3 linked regions of the Lonchura striata genome follow. The protein of the gene in region 1 binds, or shares a complex with, the protein of each later gene. Links are inferred from orthologs where the notes say so. Each region holds a gene or a part of one and is shown in the gene's direction. Other genes may lie near its edges. The genes, in order: CALCR, RAMP3 and RAMP1.

Region 1 (6,930 bases):
CATTTTTGTATTAAGGGGAAACTTACATTGATGTGACTTCATAAGTATGTATGATTTATTAAATATGCCTGCTGGTGGTTTGTAGACATCTCATAAGGCTCTTAAATAGTTTCTAGTGAAATTTTGTGTAATCTAGAATATTTTATGATTTATATACCGCACAAGCACTAGAGAGGACATTTCTTGTAACTGCCAGTGCATTTAATTCTCCTGAACAGATTTTCTTTTTGATGCTTGGCTGACATTCTCTCTAGAATCATGTACAGCTAGACACTGGCTTAATGAAGCCTGGGGTGTTGGATTCCAAGTGAAGATAGAAAATACTTGCTCATTCTGAGGGAATCAGATGCCCACTCTTTGGAAACATTCCCTAGATTTTCATTATCTTGTTTGCTTTTCCTTTCCCTTCTCTACACAGTGCAAGCAAAACCCACTGTGTTTCTACTACCAATATGGATAACTATTGAGTGCTGTACTAATGAAAACAAGTATTGCTAAATTAAAATAGCCTCTTCTAGAGAAAATTGAATGTGGCAGAAGTACAACAACTGGAATGTCTCTATTCATTTTTGTTTATTCTTTGAAAACTTGGATACAAGTGAACTTTTTGTATTTTTCATTTTCTATTTCTTTGCTTTTGTTTCTCCAAATTAATGACTGAATGCATTGTTCTTTAAAAAACCCAAAAAACACACTAAAACCCAACAAATTATCTTCTAGAGGCATATGTCAGGGTTTTTTTCCTTCACTTTAAAATGTTTTGGAGATCCTCTTAGAACATCCTGAGTTGTGAACTGAAGAATCAACTCAGGGAGATTAAATGACATAATATAAGTTAAAAATATAAATTTAAGCAAAGAGACAAATGTAATTACCCATGCCTTTTTTGTACATTAAGAGAAATACTGAGATTATTGTGCATTATGCAACTGATTTAAATAACTCTATTGTGACATTAAAACAATTTATACATTACTCTAATGAGTTACCTGATATTGGATAAATACATGAGTCCTGATTTTTCAGGTTTCTACAAAACAAAGCTAACAAAAAATTAACAATCATTAATTTTGAAAAGAGCTGTTTTAAAAAGACAGTTCTTGAATAATTGGATAGTTTATGGGATTAGAAATAAAACACTGTTCTATTCTTTAAATAATCCTAGTCTAAACTGTTTGCGTGTTTTCCAGACTCTTGAGCATTTCTGTAGTTCTCCTGATGTTTCCTTTCATGTTGGGAATGGACTTCTGCAACTGACAGTAGTTTCTTAAATATGTTTACCTGTCACTCTGCAAACCCCTAATTCTGGAGTGATCTCCTTTTCCAAAAATGAAAAGCAAAATTATCTCATTAGGGATGCTTGGTCTGAATGGCAGCTATAATCACTCTATGAATTTCCCCCTCACAGAGCTGATGTGTTTTCCAGCAGGCAGGCTTTGGAAGCCTGCATTGCTGCTGATAGTGCTGTAACTGTTCTCAGAGTTTTCAGCCAGATCACTTCCAGGAGTGAAGAATACCAAGTTGTATGTAAATAATTAAATATTCCTATGTAGGCCTTATAGGGACTGACATAACTTATGCTAAAACCAATGGCAAAGTCCCATTCTTTTGACCCTGAACTGGATTAGGGTGAATGTATTACCTTTTTTATTTAAATGATGTGTTTTGCAAATTCCAGTATTTTATCCAAGTTCTGAATATAGACCTCACTCAAATGCATTATTTACAATCATTTTATCAAAAGATACAGCATGCCTTCTGTAGACAGCTCAATGCTCACACCTCCCATGCTTCAAACAAACCAAATCTGAGCAAACTCTTCTTTGATAATACTGTGCTCTGGGTAATTCCTATGGGGTACACCATGCCAAGCAAAAAAGATATATAACTTATGACAGAAAATAACTTGTCTCCATACAGCTTGCAATGCAGGCATCTGCAAAAGATTTTGGAAATATCTCTACACAATTGATAGATCCAGCTGGGAATTTTTCTTTTGAATTCTTCACCTGACCAAGAAAATTAGCAGAGTGCCTGTCACAAGTGGCATCCTTACTTCTAGAACCATTAAATGAAAAAAAAAAATACATTTACAGAATAAAAGATGGTGCAAATGAGACAAATTACACAACTGCAAAATTTACATACTGTGTGGAAAAATATTTTCCCTCATAACAAAAAAAAAAATCACTGAAATTTTAGAAGGTTTGGACCTCCCTCACTTTTCACGTACAAAGCAAAACTATAATATCACAACATAGAACACTAGCTCAGCCTCTTCTCTGCAGAATTCAGTGTTGTAATGACTCCTGAGCACAGGCGGAAATAAAACCATTGGGTACAGTTAATAATTTCCAGTAGTTATTTATGGGTGGGATCAGTATTTCACACACATACTAAGAAGTAAGTACTCATGCTTGCAGTCCCATGGGGCACAGGGGAATTGCTTAAAGCAGAACAAATGAGAAAGTGCTGCTTCTGTGTCAAGGTAATGGTTAACAAAATAGGAATTCATTAAAAAACCACCCAGACTTTAGGAAAGCTATTTCCAGATTATGGGATGACAGATTTATACTTAAGCAGATGAATACTATTCACTAAGAAAACAGAGAAACATGCAATCCATTTTGAAAAAAATATAAAACCCATCAGTTAAAATGTGATGCATTCCAATTATAGAATGAACAGTACTAGCTGGGTAACATACAAAAAAACCCTAAATAGCTGGACCTTGGGAGAAACTGGCTGTCTATTTTGCCTCTTTCAATTTACTGCTGCAGTGTCAGGAAGGGGCAATCTCCCACTTTCCCTAGGCTTCAGCATAAGGTTTTCCTTCTGAGCAGCTCCTCTTCCACAAACATCTGAAGCATTTAGAACTGTGACTCACCCAAGCCCACCGCGGGGCAGCTGTGGCATGAGAGGGACACGACTGCAGTGAGTCCATAGGGGTGCTGCTCCGTGGTGCCAGACCTAGTGCAGCTAATGAGAACATCCCCTGATGTAACTTCTCCTACCAGAGAATGCTGTGAAGAGTGAATTGTGGCACTATGAGAGCTCATAAAAGCAGCTTCCACTGTTTCTCTTTGGCTTCCACTGGTTCTCTTTTCTCCACAGGAGATAAAAAGATAAAAGGATAAAACCAACAGTGAAAGTTTAAATCCTAAAGGGATAACAATTTACATCAGTATTCTTTGAGTCTCTCAATTCTTATCATGGTTTCCCCCCCCACCCCAATGTGAAGGAGGACAATTTTCTTCAATGGTATTATCTGGAGGAACTCTTTTATCAGCTGCTGGGAAAAGTGGCAAAAAGTTCCTTTTTCTTGGACCTTGGTGCATGCTAAGCCCAGCACCTCCTTCGGAGCACTAAGCTCCCTTGTTCCTGTCCCTCCCACCCTTCTCAGAATGGCTTGAGCCGCAAAAAGGCAGCCAGCTGCTTTTGCATGCAGGTTTCTGTAAGAAAGGCAAGCTGTAAAATTTGGCTGTAGTCTGTAAGAGAAAGTGGCAGCTGGAAGAAAAACACCTGAGAACTGCTTCAGCAGGTGCTAACTTTCCATTCAGAAGTAAGCCAGGCGACTCTAAAGCCAGGGTTCACTTTATTTGATGGCAGCAAAACCCTTCACACAGAAAAACGAAATTAAAAAGCTGTCCTCAGCCGGGTGGCGGTACCTTTTGAGCAAGTTTGTTTGCCTCCTGACTCCACCTGCTGGGAAGACACCCCACTACCTGCTATCCGCGCTGGCATGTTCGTCAGGAGCGCTGAGGTGAATCACCGTGCGTTCGCTGGGCTCCCACCCTCACTGTGGCTCTCTGGATATTTAAATATTGGGCAGCTTGCAACAGTCATAGCAGAAAAGTCCTCCCCTGCACTACTTCATGCACCACCACTCGACGCTCTTCCGAGAGGTGGTGGGGGGGTGTTGGCTTAATTGCCCCTGGATGCCCGTGTAGCTGGGGTCTGCTTTTCTGAGGAGACCAGAGGTACCCAGAGGTGCTTGGAACCAGGTCTTTCACGGCCTCTTCTTAGAGTTAGTTTAAAACGTTTACATGACTTCTGAAGCAGAAACGGGAATTTAGATGACTCTGCCGTCGGATGAACGCTGCGGCCACCTCTTGCTCATCCTCCCCAGCTTGGTGGACGGTAGGTAGATGGTTCATGCAAGCTGGAAGAGCATCAGAGGAGACGGGGCAGACGGGAGGACGCGGGACAACATCCCCGGGGCGCCCACGGGCCCCAGCAACCCTCGATCCGCTGCGGGGGCAGCGCCCCACCCGCCCAGGTGCCGGATCGCAGGGGTCCCACACTCCACGCCCTATGCTCCCCAGGCTTTCCTTTCCAAAAGATGCCCGCGATAGAAGCTCAACGCTGGCTCGGATCTGAAGATCTTCTCCTCCAAGAGGAGGAGGAGGAGGAGGAGGAGGCGAGGTCGCCGGCCGAGCCTCTGACATCGCCGGGTCCGAGCTCCTGCGGAGCGACGCACCCCCAGTGCGGATAGAGCCCGGCCGATGGCGGTCCGGGAACTCCCGGCCCCGCACGGAAGGGACCTCCGGTACAAAGGACAGTCGGCCGGGCTGCCGAGCCCCCCTCCCCCGCGGGGACGAGGGGCATGGGGGACGCGTCCCTGCCCCTGGCCGGGCGTCTCTCGGCCCCGCGCAGCAGGACCCCCGCTCCTCGGGCGCTGTGTGGGGAGCGCCGCACGGCCGCGCTCCCGCCGCCCCCGCAGCGCCGGCCCCGGCACGGCCGCCCCGCCGGCGGCAGCGCCGGAGCCGCGGGAGGCGGGGGCGGGGGAGGCGCTGCCGCCGCCGCCGGGCGGGCTCCGGCCGCCCCGCACCGACGTCGGCGCGAAGCCCCGCCGCGCCCGGGGTGGAGCGGGGAGTGGGCGCGTCGCGGGAGAGAGCAGGCAGATGCTTCCCGAGGCGCAGCCCCGCCGGAGGGGCTCGACCCTGGCCAGTGGCTGTCCGCCCCCTCCGGGACGCGAAGACCCACCGGGTGGGTCTCGGGGAGCGGGCAGCGCCATGCGCCCCTCCGAGGAGTGAAGGGGCGGCCGGGCTGCTCGGGTGCGGGCACGGAGCCGCCGCGGAGGTGGCCCGAGGTGACGGGAGGCCGGGAGAGGTGCCGCGCCAGCGTCGGTAGCGCTGCCACCGTAAGTCCTGGCAACTTAGCCGCCAGCCCTTCCCACCCGCCGCCCCCGGGACAGCGGCCGCGGGGCAGGCGGGAGCGGGGTACCGGGGGGAACACAGTCTCTGGCTGGCACTGCACCCAAAATTTAGGTGGAAGAGGGAGTGGGTTGTAGGAGCTCCGACCCGCTGGGCAGCGTGTGCGGGGCACCCTGTGGGAAGGGGCGAGGGCCGGCCGGCCGCCGCTGCCCGGAGCCGGCGGTCGGGGCGCAGCGCGGGCACGGGGCACGGTGGATCCCGGAGTTTGCGCTGCGGCTTCTGCGCTGGGGAGCAAGTCAGTGCCGGCAGCGTACCGGCTGTAGAGCAGCCGCTCTCCGCGCTGGAACTACAGCGCCTTTAAATGACACCTGAGTCACTAGTTCGTGCTTCTCGGGCACGTCAGATGTTATCTCCGTGTTATTTTTCTTCTGCTGGACCGGTATCTGTACTTACTTTGGCGTTTCACACCGCAAATGTAATAAACAACATTAGTAGGTTTTAGAATATTGCCATTGATGACAGTAGATTGATGTAGGAGGCTATTTACTGAATCTGTCCAAATACAATATAGTGCCTGTCAATTTTGTCTTTAAATTGCTATATTGATTTCATTCTTGTAGGTTTTTTTGACAAGGTTAATGTAGTTGACAATTTGCAAAGGAGAGAAAAACTTCTGGTTTATTTTAGTTACAGAATGGCAATTGTAGCTGAAATGATGAATGAAAAAATCATTCATAAAAAAGAGTCAATAGAAAGATGTGTGTCCTAAGACCTCTCAAAGTCAATATTGTCGATATCTAACAGATTATGTCTTCCTGACAAGCTTTTACATACACTGGTAACCCTTGAACTTCTTAAGGGTAATGCAGTGTGTGATACTCTTCTCAGGACTGTGCACTTTAGAGTTAAGTAGTCTGATTAGAGGGAGTATAGAATGAATTAAACAAGGCATCACAATATAATGCCTTTGCTTTTTCATAGGCACTGAATGAAATTAAGGTCTTGCTTCTGCTCCTTTTCCCCCTCAGTGGTTGAAGGATGACGCTGTTGGGGGAACCCTTGTGTTTGGTCAGCGAAAGGGTCCTTATGCTGCTTTAGGGCTGTGTATCAGGGCTGACCAGGATGACATTTCTTTGCTGCCAACAGCTCAAACTGCAGGTGGTGTTGAGCTGAAGAGAGAATTTAATTCACCTCTCAGAATCCTAGGCATAATTGTCAAGTAGATAAATTAAATACAGGAGAGCTAATACTTCAGTGTAATTTCTTCAGACATGCGATAACCTTTGCTGGTAGGCAACTTTTGCTAAGCTACCACTCTGATTCTTACTATAGCTGTCATATGCTAGCTGACATGAAATAGTTCTGAATGAACTAAAAACTGTGTTTCTGTATCTACTGGTATGTATTAGAGTATGAAAACTCTATAAATCTTGGGTAGATGTTGGTCCTGTTAAGATAAATGGCAAAATCCCAATTAACCCCTCCAAAGGGTGGGTTTCAGTGTACATCTTCATTATCATTTATAGTGAGTGACAACCAAATTTACTTTGTAGTTGAAGTGGCAATGTTTAAATCTGGCTAGTGATGGCACTTCAAACATCTCTACATGTAACTGCTTTAGAATCATGGATAAGAGCCACACAGCTCTTAATAGTTGTTTTTAAAAGCTATACAGAGTAAACTGTATTGTTCTTTCAAGAGGAATAGGCAGTTCAGATTTGACTTACACTCCAGTTTTTATGTTTCATCAGACTTAATCACTTTTTCATAAAAA
Region 2 (6,958 bases), about 50 Mb from region 1:
GGAGTGAATCTCTTCGCATTACTGCAATACAATGGGAGTTGGGGGAAGTGGTCAGTCTTACTGAAAAACTGCAAACTGCTTAAGTTTTTTGAACCATCTTGAGGACTGTTCTACTGCTGTCACAGTTTTGTTCAAATGTGAATCAGACTTACTCATTTTAGAACACGTTGCTGAAGATATCACCTACCATAGCTGGCTTGTGATCCAATTGTTATAGGTAAAAATTATCAAGCCTAATTAATAATTAATAATTAATAAATCAGATTTTTATTCAGCGATCAAGATTTGGTCTAAGACAGCCACAATCGAAAGAACAGAGCCGAGCCCGGGATCGGCACTGGGTGAGACATAGGTCCAACCGCTACAGCATAGGGTCTCCTATGTTCACACTGATTGTCCTGTCCCAGCGGTTCTTATACAGTTTATTCTGCCCGAGGCAGAGTTTTCTGCGATCAAGATTTTCTTCCTTTCAGAGTAGTATATTCACATAGTTTCTTTTCTCCAGGTCAAGCTGAACAAAACTGTATCCAAAGCGTGATGTAAGTCCATCGTCGAGTTACTGGAACGTGGCATTGAGATGTATCTTTCCGATGTATTTATGAAGTATTCATCGCTTCGGAGTTCCTCGGATCACCTTGCTACGTTCATTAATTTGCAAATGAGGTCCTCCTCTCTCTTGTCAGCGGTTTTGACATATCTTGAAGCAATCTCCCAACTCTGGCTTGCATGCTTAAAACCTTTTAAGAATATTTCTGACCAACATAACATATTCTATATATATTTCTTTTTATAAGCATGAATTATCCAAAATACACATAACACAATGCAACATGCTGCATTAGTGCATTTACCTATAAATTCTATCAATTTTTTCTACCTCAGAGATACTGTTTGCACCTTCAAACTATGTGCTGCAAGCACAAAATGGTAAGTGCTTCCTGAATCTTGAGAGTTGGAAGAAGTAACACTCACTTTGCCAGTTTTTAATCTGAAACAGGAGAAGAAAACAAATGCAATTGATGCAAAAAGACCCGACACCATTATCTCCAGGTGTGTTACAAAAAGCATTGCCTTTATACTGTATAATATACTATACTTTTAAAACATTTTAAACATATAATATTGCAATAAACCATGATGCTTAGCCTCCTGGAAATCAATCTAAATTATTGAAAATACTAACTGTATTTTCAGATTTGCGAGAAATGGAATTTGTGATGGAAATCAAGATCTTACTGTTAGAAAGAATGCTATATGTTATAGGTAAAAATTAATCTAGCCAAATTAAAAAAAAAAAAATTATTTAGCGATCAAATTCTATCTGAGCCAGCTACAAAGAAAAGGACAGTGCTGAGACTGGGATCGGTGCTGGGTGAGACACAGGTTTGACCAACACAGCATACCCCTATGTTTCACACTGACCGTCATGTGCAAGCAGATTTTATATGGTTTATTTTGCTCGAGGCCAGGATTTTGGCAATCAGCCTTTTCTTTCCATTCAAAGTCCCACAATTTTATAAAGTCTCTTTCCTCCGTGCTGAGTTGAACAAACAGGAGTCCAGGAAGCAATCCTTGTCCAGGAAGTACATCCTTGATGGAGTTAAAGGGAACTCAGTATTGAGATGTATCTTTTGGTGGTTCCAGAGATCTCAATCTTGGGTAGTAGCCAGGACAATCATTGCCTGGGAGTTCCTAGATCACCTTGAGAAATGACCCATCTCGAACCTAAGGACCTATGTGTATTAACTTGTAAATGAAGTCTTATCAGCTATAGTTTCAACATATGTGAAGCAACCCCCTAGCTCTGGCTCGTATGTTTTATGCCAATAATTTCAGTAGTATGAAACATTACATACCTATTGTTATGAACAAAACAGCCTGGCTGGGACACTTTGGCTTAAGCTAAGTATGGACATTGAAATGTTAATTAGCTAATCGCTCCTGGGAATCACCTACACCCCCACCCAAACTAGGACTAGGATGCAAAATAAGCCAGTGGAATCATGGGAGGGGGTTTTGGGGATGAAAAGTACCCCAAAATGAAAAAGAGGGGCACAGTGGAGGGGGCTGGATGGGTGTGCTGGTTGGGGAAAAGGGAACCCCATCCCTAGTCTGTGTTTGACCTGTCACCATAACCTGCAGAGGACCAGATTGGATTGGACTGTGGGAAGCAGGCACAAGGAGAACAGACACTTTACCTGGTGTTACCAGGAGGGCAGGAGAGGGATAGCTGCTGCCGGATTTCAGGATTTCGGCAGCAGGCTCTGCACATCCTCCCCCTACCCTGTGACTACCAGTGTACCAGGAGGAAAGGAAAGAGGACAGTCTCCTGGGACTTCAGATACAGACTGGACACCTCTTCACTTCTGGCTACCAGTGTGCCACGGAGACTCCAGGGACAGACTCTGCACGCCTTCTCACCCTACAGCTACCAGAAGAAGCTACAACACCCCCCCCTGCCGAGCTGACTTTTTAATAAAGAGCTGAACACTAATAAAGGCAAAGACCTTCTTCATTTCACCTATCACCCTGCAGGCACGAATTATCCATATTACACATAATGTATAGATGGTATAACTAGTCTGTGGTGTATGTGCCTTTATGCTTGTCACTTTGCTGCAGCTTCTTCTGGCAGGGGCAGATTGCAAACACTCTTTACAAAGCAGAAATGGTAGCCCCTGTGCTGAAGGATGATCTCCCTGAGCTACGGATTATTTATGGTTTATGGTGTTTTACAAGCTTTGCTTCCAGCTAAGTGGAAGAAGTGGCACACAAGGGATAGGAGGTTAACTCTCAGTGACACACTTAAATGTCTACAGAGCTGTTTCAACATTGTATTCCCAACCTTCTCTGTGGTTTCTGAAGTTCTCCATTTCCTTCAGCCTAGACAACAGAATAAATCAGACAAAGGTTGTGTACTGAAAACAGTGGTTACAAAGGCACATTTTGGGGTCCCAGTCTCCAAAAGTGTTTGGAGCACTGTGCAAGGCAAGTGTACAAAGTCAATGTTAACAACCTGACTGATACCTAAAAGTACTCTTTGTTCCTGTGTGTGGCTTGAAAATCTCTTTTGAAATTTGATGGTACATTTGACCTTTAATAATGACAGTGATTTAATGTTCTACTAGAAGGCCATTATTGAGGTGGAGTGTCCATGTACCCAGAAGAACAGTCTGAGTCCTCGTTACTGAGCAATACTACTATTTTTAGGTAAGAAAAGTCGCCTTTAGCAGCTTCCCAGTCTGGTGTTTCTCGATGGATATGCTAATTTCCTAGAGAGCTCTAGGAACACAGCTTTTAAATATTGATGAAAATCAGGAGCTGTACCATCTCTGAAAAGAGACAGGCAAAGATGAAATTGCAACATAAAAATACACATACACGTAGCATCTTAGAACTCCAGGCTGCTCTGGGTCTGTGTGGGGTCAGACAAGCTCACTCCCCATATTCAGCTGTAAATACTGAGCATGCCAACACATGCCGTGCAATGGCTGCAAGTGAGCTAACACAGGTGGCCTTCCAGCATCTCATGCCTTCACCCCCACCGCCAGGATGTTGTGATAGGATGAAAGCAACTGATCTGGCTCCCAGGGCAAGGGGTGAAGAATCCCTGAATCCCTCAGACAGTTACAACCAGAACTGTCACCCTGGGGGTAGGTGCCTTTCCTCTAGGCAGCCACACAGACCGATGGCTGGGAGCGGCATCGCTCCTGCCGTGGTTGTTGGAGGAGCAGGAGGCACAGCCGCGCTTCTGTGGCCGCACACACAGCACACTCGCACGTGCTTGCCCCTGCTCCTGTCCCTGTCCTGTCCCGTTCCGCCCGGCCCGGCCCGGCCCGGCCGCCGTTTCCGCCCTGCTGGAAGCACCCGGGGCGGAGGAGCTGCTCCCCTGCGCCCCCGCCCACGCTGCCGCCGCCGCCCGGGGCTGGACGCCGAGGCATGAAGAGCCTCCCCTGCGGGCGGCCTGAAGCCAGTTCGGGCCTTCTGCGGCTGCGAGCTGGCCGCCCCATGTGGGCTCCGTCCTCCGCGGCCGCTGCCGCCCGCGCCGGGATGGAGGCGCAGGGCAGCCGCCGGCAGCAGCTCCCCGTCCTGCTGCTCTGGGGTAAGTGGCTGGCGGAGCTGGCCGGGGGCGTCCCGGCAGTGTGCGGTGGGGCTCGCCGCTACCGCTCCGGGGCTGCTGCACCGGGACGGGCTGAGCATCCTCGCGGGTGCGCAGTCTCCGAGGGCAATGCTTCAAGCCGGGACGTGGGGCTGAAGTTCGGGGAAGGTGGGAGCGCCCCTTCTTTGGCTAGAGAATCCCTTTGGGAGGGGGTCTCCGGGCCTCCCTTGCCGGCGGGTCGGGACGCAGCGGGGATCACTTTCCCTCCGGGGCTCTCCATCCCGAGCATAGCGGCGGCTTCGCAGCGAGAGCGTTCCAGCCGCGCCTGGCGGGCAGCGGGGCCGGTGGTCCCCTTCAGCATCGCGCCGACATCTCTGAGAGGAGTCCAGGCCCCGGGGTAAACAATCTCTAACTTCTTGCCTTAGTCAGGATTTCCATCTTGGATCCCACACGGATTCTGGGGAGGTGTGTTTGGCTATTGGGAAAGGTTTTTTCCTGAAGAATGAAGGGCTGATTCCTGTTAGAGTAGTTGAGTTTCAAGCACGTAGCTATCAAGCACAGATATCCTTCAGATCTTTCACTTAGTCTGCCTTGGCTGCTGGAAAAACTATTGTTCCTTGTCAGGTAGATTGCTTAGGGCTCTCATATTTAATGTGTTGCAGTCATCTGAAGTTGCCAGAAATCAGCTCTGATCATCTTCACTCAACAGTAAGCTAAGAGATGTAGTTGATTTCCTGTGAGTCACACTTAAGTAACAAAAATTCAAGCCTGGTACCTTTAGAAGATATATCTGAGGACTTCAGAACTTTGTTATTTTTGACCCCTTCCAAAACTGCTAAACACTGCAATATTTCTATGAAAAGACCCACAAACAAATAGACAGTTTCTACAGTGCTCAGTAGCATCATCCTTAGCTGGTCTGTCAACAGAATGACATGCTACATGCACAAATTTCTGATTCTCTGTGGCTTGAGGACTTCTAAAATCTTACCTTAGTTGCTCAGATTTCTGTTATTCCTCAGCTGAAAAGACAACCAACACTTGTATTGACATGTGAAATATTTATGCAGTCTTGAACTTAGGGAAATAGGCAATAATCTTTTTGTATGGGGAGGCAATGTTGCTGTGATTTTTGCAAAGTAGAATTATCCACTGGAGATTTGTTTTCAGAGATTTACTAGAGTGAAGGACAGTGTCGCTGTGGCTCAGGAAGCTACAGGACATTTTTCACCAGAGAGGCACAGATAAATCAATTGTGCTAGACATTTTTAACTGTGCCAGTTCTAGTCCTAATTGAATAACGCAGACACAAAAGATTTTAAGAATATCTGTTAACTGATAATACATTACTTTTTCTTGGAATTGGAAAGGGTAGATATAATCAAGAACTAATTAAATGAGACTAGTTTCCTAGTAGAAAAACTTTAGAGTTTTAGGATGTGAACTCAGGTTTTTTTATAAGAAAAGCCTAAATTGGTAGAAAACTAAATTGCTTATTTGGAAATACAAACACAGTTTAAAAAATAGTTATTTTGTAAGAATATTTATTTTAATTGAATGGTCATTCTTATTTTTTTTTTTTTAATTAAGCACAGAGCTGTGACCTCTGTCATTAAGGTGAAACCACTATTCCTCAGTGCTAAGCTCACTGAAGGCAGTGGGAAGCCCATCTGGGTGGGGTGTGGGACTGTAGTTCTGTAACCACAGGCAACTACTTTCTTTATCTTTCTGCCTAGGAGTTTTGACTCATTATGTCTATGCATAACTACTTGTTGTGTTGTGCATCCTTAGTGAGATGGACAAAAAGGCAGTGTGTTCACTCAGTGATTGTAGGAGAAGCTGAATTTACAGAGTGTGGAGGGGAAAGAATGCATCAGCCGAGGTACTTGGTACACAGACATGTCATCAGTTCTGTGAAGTGCAATAACATCCAGAATGGGTAAGAGCTGGAAACACCAGCTGTCAGGTGAAATCCTCTGATTTGGCTTAGCAGAGCTGTAGATACTTGTAAGACACCTACTAACAGTGGAATCTAAGCACCTAAGAAATAGCGTTGTATTTACCATCATACCAAATTTTCTTGGTATACTTCTATGTATGGAAACTGAGGTAAGAAGAGGTAAGGGCTTGACCACTTTTAACAAAGTCGTTTTTTTTATACAGGTAATTGTTTTGGAATCCCTGCCCAAGTGTTTCTCCTTCATTCCTTATGTAACACCTGCAGTTCCATGGTACTATTTGTATTTGAGTAAAAAGATGCTACCAGAGTAAAGCTGGGTATTTTTTAAATTCCAGAGTAATCTTCCTCAATATATTTCTATAAACCTATTTCAAGAGAGATAGTGTGATCCTTATCTGGAGCAGTTCTTGTGTGCAAATTTCAAAGATAGTCAGTTGGTTTTTGCATTTCATAATCTGTTTTCACAGGGGTCAGCCAGGCTTAGTGCTTTGGTCACAGCTGAGCAGCTGGACAGTTGGAAACAGCCTGGTCCCAATTACATTTTTACTTTCTGTTTTGAAGACTACCTCATCTGCAAACAATAATGAAAAAGCTGAGTATAAAAGTCCAAATTCTGTAAGGTCCTGAGCTGCCCTTATGTGAAACATGGCATATATAAGTCCTGGAGAGTTTGGATTCCAATGATAAAAAAAAAAAAAATCCAACAGGAAACAATTTTAGTGGGTTAAAGTTTGAAAACCAAATCAAGGTTTTTTTTTTTTCCCCATTATTTTCTTATGAATATCATGCTGTTCTGCAGCTGCAAAGGGTGGAACAAAGAAAGGGAATACCATCGTAGGAGTTCTGAATTTAATAGACCAAGGTGAGTGTGTGTGTGTAAAACAAATAAACTTTTACAA
Region 3 (6,936 bases), on another chromosome or scaffold:
TTCTCTTAGGAGATTCTCTTCTCTCCCTTAGTTTGTTCTAAAGTTTTCTCTCTAGGCTGTCCAAAGTCTATGGAGAAGATGTCAGCTCAAGAACAGTCACTCTTTACTTTCTTACATTTATTACTAGAAGTGAAGACAGTGGGGAGTGGGAATGAACAATCTTCTGTTCCTGTTGGTGGTCCAAAAACCTCAGTGCCTGAGGTAGGTCTGTTCTTAATTTGTAGGAGGAATTTCTTGCCTCTTTAAGGCTTCTTTCATACTCTGCATTTACTACCAAGAGCCTTGATTTGAAATCACCTACTCAACAGCTGGCACATTGTTTGCTTGGAGATAATCAGAAGGGAAGTAATTATTGCTCACACTACTTTGTGTGGCAGACTAAGCTTTAAATCTTCCTGTCACGTAACATTTAATAGATAGAAAATTATGTAAGGATAGGAAAATATGTAACATATTGGTAATAAGTTTCTGTCATGTGGCAGAAGAGTGAAAGCACCATTCTTTTGCCCCTGCATCAGACTGTGACACCCCAGCTGGTTTTTCTGAATCCTAGGACAGTTTGGAATTTCCACGTTTGCACTACATTTTTCATCTTGCAACACCAGTTTTTTTAATGTAAGCGTCCTGTGGCTTTATACAGGAAAGATTTTGGGGTAATGGATGGGAAGGAAACTCTTGGATTTTCCAGCATAAATCTAAGAAATCTATACATACAGTGTTTTGTATTGGCTCAGCTTAGTCCTTGGAGAGTAAAGGGCAATTCAGTAATTGCTGGTGTTGCTCACATAAACCCCACAGATTTGCTGTCTTTGGGGATTTCCCTTTAAACATGCTGGTCCTTTGGGAAATGGTAATTGGATCTACTTTAAAGTAGCAGGAATAAGATGAGCTTTAAGGTGCCTTGCAACCCAAACCATTCTGTGGATCTAGGATTTTATATTTATTTGTAGGAAAGAGGTGTTTTATTACCCGTACAACCCTTAAGCCATGCATTTTTTTCCCTTATTTTGATGCACTTCTAGGATCCTGGGGAAAATTCCCTGCAGAAAACATCCATTTGTTCCTCTGTGGACCCATCTGGTATCTTTGTTTCTCCTTACGCACTGAACTTGAGCAGCTTTACCAAGTTAATAAAGAGACTCCAAAAAAGGCATCCAGGGTTTAGCAGGTGAGATATTTGGATTTCTTTTTCGCCCTAATTTGTAATGTAGTCAATACGCATGCTAACCAATCACTAAATGTGTGGCACAAAACATGATGTTCACGGTTATTTCCTTCATTCCCACAGAGAGGAAATTGCAGGCGCAGTGCAGGAGGTGAGGAGAATCAACAAGGGTGTCCTGAGTGGCATGGCCATCAGTTCTATTGAGGAGAAGGCCTCTGACATTCTGAGTTCTCAGCAGCAGAAGCACTGAAAGAGGTGAATATTCCAGGCTAAAGGAAGTAAACCCACCCTACAGCCTGACTAGATTATTGCAGCCTCTGGCCCTGCAGGAGGTACCGGGGTGAATCCACTGGAGCAGCGGTTTATAAAGACTGGGAGCTGTAAAACAGGTTGCATTCTATAAATCTTGGTGTACTGGTGGTTTATTACTGAATATGGGGATTTTTGAAGGCATTTTGAACAAGGTAGAGACAGGACCTCTGAGTTTTTAGGTTATGTGGTTATTTTTCTTCTATATAGATAGAAAGGATGAGTTTGACTCACTAGTGCATAGTTCAGAAGGTCACAAGACCTTTAGTTATAAGACCTTTTAAAGCTTTATTGGCCAATAAAACACTGCCAACAAGGATATTTAAGTTTTTTGACCCAATTTTTAAATATTTCCTCTTATGAACTCATGCTACAGTGTAAGCTTTCTTAGTCAGTCATGTTATGACACACAAACCTACAGTACTGCATTCTGAACTCCTTGTTTATCTTTGTAACTGTTTACATTTTTTCTCTATCTTAAACTTCAAAAGTGTAAACTTTTCTGTTCTTAATGTGTCTCTTCTTTAAACTATAAATCCACATTCTCGCTTCTAGCACCTAAGTTTGGAAGACTTTTCCAAGTCAGATCAAAGCCTGTGTTTAATTCTGAGCTTTGGCTTACAGGCCCAAAGTCCTGAGAATCCCCTGTATTTTGGATTCCAACAGCTGGACTGCCTCACTGCTGAGCTGTGTGGAGGGCACTGTCTGCGTTCAGTGCACAGCTGACACCTAAGGGCCAGGCCTTGTGTAGCCTCTCACCCGAAATCCCAGCCCTGGCTCCCTCTGGATCCAAACACTGATGGTTTCTGTCTGCTGCCTGGGCCAGCTCTGGGCTGGAAACCTGACAGAATCAGACTGTGTCTTGTTATTTTCTCTCACCGATGCTTTTGGTCGTGTGGCGCTGCAGCAAGCTGAAGGTGCTGAAATTACAGCCCAGAGTTCCAGGGATGTGTGTCCATCCTTGCTTTAGTCTCCTGCTCAGCTTGGTGCTCTGCTTGCTTTAGGGACCTCCTAGCAGCGCCACTGCCACATTTCCTGCAAAAGTCTTCGGATTAATCTCCTGGCTGACTTTCACAGGACTGTAGATAGGGACAGAAACTCATCCCCAAAACATTAAAATCTTATGCTTGGAAGCATTTTCAGTCAGTTTTAACAGCCTCAAAATGTGTTGTGCTTTCCTTATGGAGTGATTATTTGGTTTTCCAGTGGTGCGTGGGCTCTGCAGTCCAAATTGTTCATATTACAGTATTTTTTCCCTGTTGTTTTGTGTGGGAGATGATGACTTATAATAATTTTTATTTTTAACATGAGGGAGGTGTGAAATGGCCAAGGCATTACTAAATAATGGGGAAATAAGAATCCCCATTTTCCACAGTAAGAAACAAGTATATAATACATTTAAGAAAAGGTGATTCTGCTCAGAGATCACCTAACCCAGTCTCTTGTTTGTACTTTGTTGCAATTGCTGCTGGAAATAACAGCCTTGTTTACTGTCAATAAAGGTTAAAATTTGTTCTTCAAAAGAGTTGGGTCAATGCTGTGCTGTTTGCAGACCTCTTCTGCTGCCTGTCCCCGTGGCAGAGCCATGGCTCTGTGCTGTGCCCTTGGTCCCAGTGCTGCAGGTGAGGCCGCGGCTTTGGTGTCTCGGGCTCTGACAAGATGGAAGCAGTCCCAGGCTTTGCTCTTCACCTCATTACCAGCAGCTGTTGTTCCCCAAGCCGGGCTCTGTGATTAGGCGGGTGCTAATAGTTCAGGAGGAACTGGCTGTCTTGTTCCTCTTGGGAAAGCAAAGTGTGCACGATGTGAAAGACTCGAGTTAGCAAACTCTGCTGTTCCTTTTTTATTGACCTTCGAGAGGGAGAGCTGACCTCAGGCGTGAGAGAAGCGAGCTGTGGGGCAGTGACCCCGCTGCAGCAGAGTCCTGCCCTGCTGCACGGGCGTATCCCGATCCGGAGCACCTGAGGCTCTGCTGCTGGGGCACAGCTCCGCAGCGAGCTGCAGGTGGAGCTGTAGGAGCTCGGGAGCGGTGCTACACTCCAATAAACATTAAAGCGGAAACCACAAAACATTCCTCCTTAAAATCGCCTTCCATGTGTATGTTCAGCCCTAGAAAGGGGGAGAAGGCAGGATGTTTTAGCTAGGGAGAAATCCCCTCGCTGGAGGTGGAACCGGGGTTGAGGAAGGCGGGCTGCTCCGTGCTTTCCTTCGGAACTGTTCGCCCGTGGGCTGCGAGGGGGAGAGGGCGATAAGGAGAGCCCGGGCTCCATCTCCGTCCCGCTGTCCCCGCGGGAGCGCTCCCGCTCCTGCGGCCCGCGCTGCCGCCGGGAGAGCGGAGCGGAGCCGGGCGGGGCCGCGGCCGCCCCGGGCCCGCCCTCCCTCCGGCAGCGCCGCGGGCGCGGAGCCCGCCCGGCCCCGGCAGCGGAGCCGCGGCTGCCGTGGGGCCATGGCCCTGCTCCCGCGGCGCTTCCTCTGCTTCGTGCTGGGTAAGTGCGGCCGCCGCGGCACAACTTCCCCGGGGCCGCCGCGCCAGGCTCCCCGGGACTCCCTCTGCGCCGGGCGCGGGCGTGCATCCCCGGCCGCCTCCTCCGCGCTCCCACCGCTCTCCCTGAAGCCCGGCCAGGCTCCAGCCTGGCTTCGCTGGCGACACAGCAGTAGGGAAAGGAAAAGGAGAAATTATTCCAGGGCGCTTGGCCTCGGGAGCAGTGAGGTGGTGATGCTGTGGGACGCAGCCTGCTTTGTAGGGGGATTCTCTGCTTGCTAGGCGAGCTGGACCGAGGCGGGTTCTGTCTCTGGTCCGTGCCTTTTGTTGGAAATGTTTAATTACTGCCTTTTGTAGTCTGTCTTCCCATTCCTGAGCCGCAGGGAAGAGGAGGTAGCCAGAAGTGCCTCTTCAAAGAGCTGAGGTCGGATGTTCTGGGGTTTACGGGTGGAGGGCTTGGAAACGCTGGAGTTGTGTGCTTGTTTCCATGGGATGCCTCGGTTTCTTCGCTGCTCCTAGCATTTCAGTGCAACAGGTAAAGACTTGTGCCGTGCTTGTCACCTGTGTGCCCTCAACAAAAGCTCGGAGGGGTGGTGATGGTGTTGGTGCTGTGTAAAAGTGTGTTTATTTAAGGTGCTCCAAAGGGAAACCGCACCCCCTCATCTTAAGCTGATCTTCCACAAAAGGTGCTCCTGAGGCAGCACAAATTTTTCCTTCTTTCCCTTCCTTCCCCTGTGCTGGTTTTTTCCCCCCAAACCCTGGGGAGTAACGCAGTGAGCCGTGCTACACATGATGTGCTGATCTGTACCATGTAATTAACTATTTACTACTGTAATTAACTATTTACTACTCCTCAGCTGTGCAGGGCAGGAGCAGCCCGTGCCCTTGGACGAGGCACATTTTCCTGCGGGGTTGCAGGGAAAAGCTGCACAGCCCTGTGCAGAGAGCGCTATCTCCTGCTAGCTAGGATTTCTCTCTGCTCTTTTTTCCCTGCCCCGTCTCCTTTTCCTGACTCTCCCTTCTCTTTGCTGGGGAGCTGTAACTTTTAAAAGTACTCCAGGCTGCTCCTTTCCATCTCCAGTGGGCTCAGGAGCAGGAAGATGCTGCCTCTTGTGTGAACCAGGTGCCCAGTGACAGCTCATCTTGGTGCTGTAGATGTTTTTCACTACATTCTCCTCCTGGGATTTTGTATTTTGAGCACATTTAACAAAAAGACCCACTTACTCTTTTTACACCTTTCTGCTTTTACGGCCCTGCACACAGTCAGGGCTGCCCTGAAATTGCAAGTGGCAACTGAGTGCTCAGAAATCAAGGTGATTTGCACCAATGCAGGTATTTTAAAATGAGATTTTTTTTAAAAAAAAGAGAAGGGTCTGAGAGAAAAACCTTTCTTTTAAAGCTTGAGCTTTAAGAAATTTCACCACTGGCTGCAGTCTTTAAAAAGCAATGGCAGCCAGGGAATCAGTCATCCTAAAAGTCTCATTCAGCAGGCCAGGGATCCAGCTGTACCCCGAGGTAACCACTTCCACTGGGGCTTTTTCTGGGTTTTGACTGCAGCTTCCTGCAGAGGCTGCTCAGGGAGGAGGGGATGAGGCAGGCTCTTGCTGTTACTGGGGCAGTGATGATTGGCACCACACACAGCTCTGTGCTGGGCTGCTTGGATTTTTTCTGGGTGTAGATAACTATTACTGTGAGAGGTAAGAGGCAGTTGCAAATAAGGTTGGTAAAACATTAATACCTTCTTGATTCCCTGCATCTTTTCTCTGTGCTGTACAGCACTGTGTTTGCATAGTCTATAGAAAACGATGCTTTCTTAAAAACAAAACTTCTAGGCAGTGTGTATGACCTTTCCTGGAAAACAGGAATTAAAGTGCTTTGTGTCTTCTCTCAGGCCAAAGCACACTCGGTAATGCCTGCCACTGATTGCAGTTTGAGTGCCTCCTTAATCAAAAGCTAAAGCTCCCTTTAAACTCGAACTTAAGGCTGCTGCCTCTCTGAGAAAATCCCCAATATTTACAGAATGCCTCGTTAGAAATCCCTGACAATAAAGTAAAACATTCCTCCTCCTTTGAGAGCATCTCTGGCATGGAGAGGACTCAAAACTTCCTATGCATCAAAAGAGAAGCACGTGAATAGGAACAACAAAATTGCCTCCACCCTGTAATTCCTTGTACTGCTCCCATAGGTGCCAGTTGTTTTGCTGCAGGAACCAGTGGCAGGTGGGTTTGGTGGGCTGGCTGGAGGCTGTGTGATGTTGTCAGGAAGCCTCTTGGCTTTGAGGAATAGGGTTGCATTTATTAGCTCTGAAACGATGCTGAGTTTAAGTGAAGCACTGGCACAGCAGCCTCCTGCAGTAATGCAAATACAAATGCCATGGCCTGGATGGAATGAAATGAGACCTCATAATGGGTAAAGATGGGCTTGGCATCTTTTACCTTTCCACAGGGCTAGAAATCAACGTTGGGGTTGTGGCAGAGTTGAGGGATGTCTTGGAAAGCCGTGGGTGGGAGTCTGGAGTTGCTGCTCTGCTCTGGCAGCTTTGTTCTGCCTCCCTGACTGGATGCAGAGTCTGGCTCTGTCATTTTTTGGGGGGAAGTTCAGGGCAGATTTGTGCCCCAAGTCCGTGGCTGTGGTCAGAGCCCTTCCCAGCACGGTGCCTGCACCAAGCCAGGACCTAAAGCACCACTGGGTTGGAGCAAGAGGAGCATTAAAAACCCATTAGAGGGGAAATGCAGCATTTTAGCTCACTCAGATAGCTAAATGCCTTTTGCTGCTCTAAAATACAGCCACGGCTGGGGTTTGCCAGGTCAGTTCCTCTATGGATGGGTGATTACCAGGGAATCTTCATCCCTATCTGCCATTACACTGCCTGCAGAGCTGGGTGCTTTTAATCATCAAATCCTCTAATGAAGCTGCTTCATGGTTTCAGTCCCTTGTCTCTGTGCTTCTACAGCATGAGCTTTTGGGGATCTGAAAACACATC

What was found.
Region 2: the proteins of CALCR (region 1) and RAMP3 are in contact, whole or in part, in a cryo-EM structure (PDB 8F0K), measured with the Homo sapiens proteins. The link is inferred for Lonchura striata from reciprocal best matches to the Homo sapiens genes CALCR and RAMP3. Residues at the interface, in NP_001158210.1 of Homo sapiens: Arg45, Lys46, Met49, Asp50, Gln52, Tyr53, Lys54, Tyr56, Asp57, Met59, Gln60, Arg74, Thr75, Trp76, Asp77, Gly78, Asn124, Arg126, Phe235, Leu238, Ile242, Thr246, Gln257, Arg258, Trp261, Tyr262, Leu264, Leu265, Phe269, Ile276; in NP_005847.1 of Homo sapiens: Cys57, Leu59, Ile63, Tyr66, Glu67, Thr70, Tyr83, Trp84, Pro85, Gln90, Ile93, Thr94, His97, Arg98, Phe101, Ser102, Cys104, Val106, His110, Leu111, Glu112, Asp113, Pro114, Val118, Leu119, Leu122, Ile123, Pro126, Val127, Leu129.
Region 3: the proteins of CALCR (region 1) and RAMP1 are in contact, whole or in part, in a cryo-EM structure (PDB 9AUC), measured with the Homo sapiens proteins. The link is inferred for Lonchura striata from reciprocal best matches to the Homo sapiens genes CALCR and RAMP1. Residues at the interface, in NP_001158210.1 of Homo sapiens: Arg45, Lys46, Met49, Asp50, Gln52, Tyr53, Tyr56, Asp57, Met59, Gln60, Gln61, Thr75, Trp76, Asp77, Gly78, Asn124, Arg126, Phe235, Leu238, Ile242, Thr246, Val250, Ala251, Gln257, Arg258, Trp261, Tyr262, Leu265, Phe269, Ile276; in NP_005846.1 of Homo sapiens: Trp59, Ile63, Tyr66, Arg67, Ala70, Asp71, Phe83, Trp84, Pro85, Val89, Asp90, Phe93, Leu94, His97, Gly98, Phe101, Ser103, Arg109, Ala110, Val111, Arg112, Asp113, Pro114, Ile118, Leu119, Phe122, Ile123, Pro126, Ile127, Val129.

The regions. Positions count from the first base shown.
Region 1 is NC_134603.1:133,051,695-133,058,624, forward strand, and holds the start of CALCR (calcitonin receptor), read left to right. Parts: upstream 1-3,842; 5' UTR 3,843-4,140; intron 4,141-4,856; exon of another isoform or gene 4,857-5,143; intron 5,144-6,930. UniProt on the Homo sapiens protein: G protein-coupled receptor activated by ligand peptides amylin (IAPP), calcitonin (CT/CALCA) and calcitonin gene-related peptide type 1 (CGRP1/CALCA).
Region 2 is NC_134603.1:82,686,524-82,693,481, forward strand, and holds the start of RAMP3 (receptor activity-modifying protein 3), read left to right. Parts: upstream 1-3,925; 5' UTR 3,926-3,939; coding exon 3,940-4,102; intron 4,103-6,958. UniProt on the Homo sapiens protein: Accessory protein that interacts with and modulates the function of G-protein coupled receptors including calcitonin gene-related peptide type 1 receptor (CALCRL), calcitonin receptor (CALCR) and G-protein coupled estrogen receptor 1 (GPER1).
Region 3 is NC_134610.1:38,601,678-38,608,613, forward strand, and holds the start of RAMP1 (receptor activity-modifying protein 1), read left to right. Parts: upstream 1-3,876; 5' UTR 3,877-3,917; coding exon 3,918-3,957; intron 3,958-6,936. UniProt on the Homo sapiens protein: Accessory protein that interacts with and modulates the function of G-protein coupled receptors including calcitonin gene-related peptide type 1 receptor (CALCRL) and calcitonin receptor (CALCR). Required for the transport of CALCRL to the plasma membrane.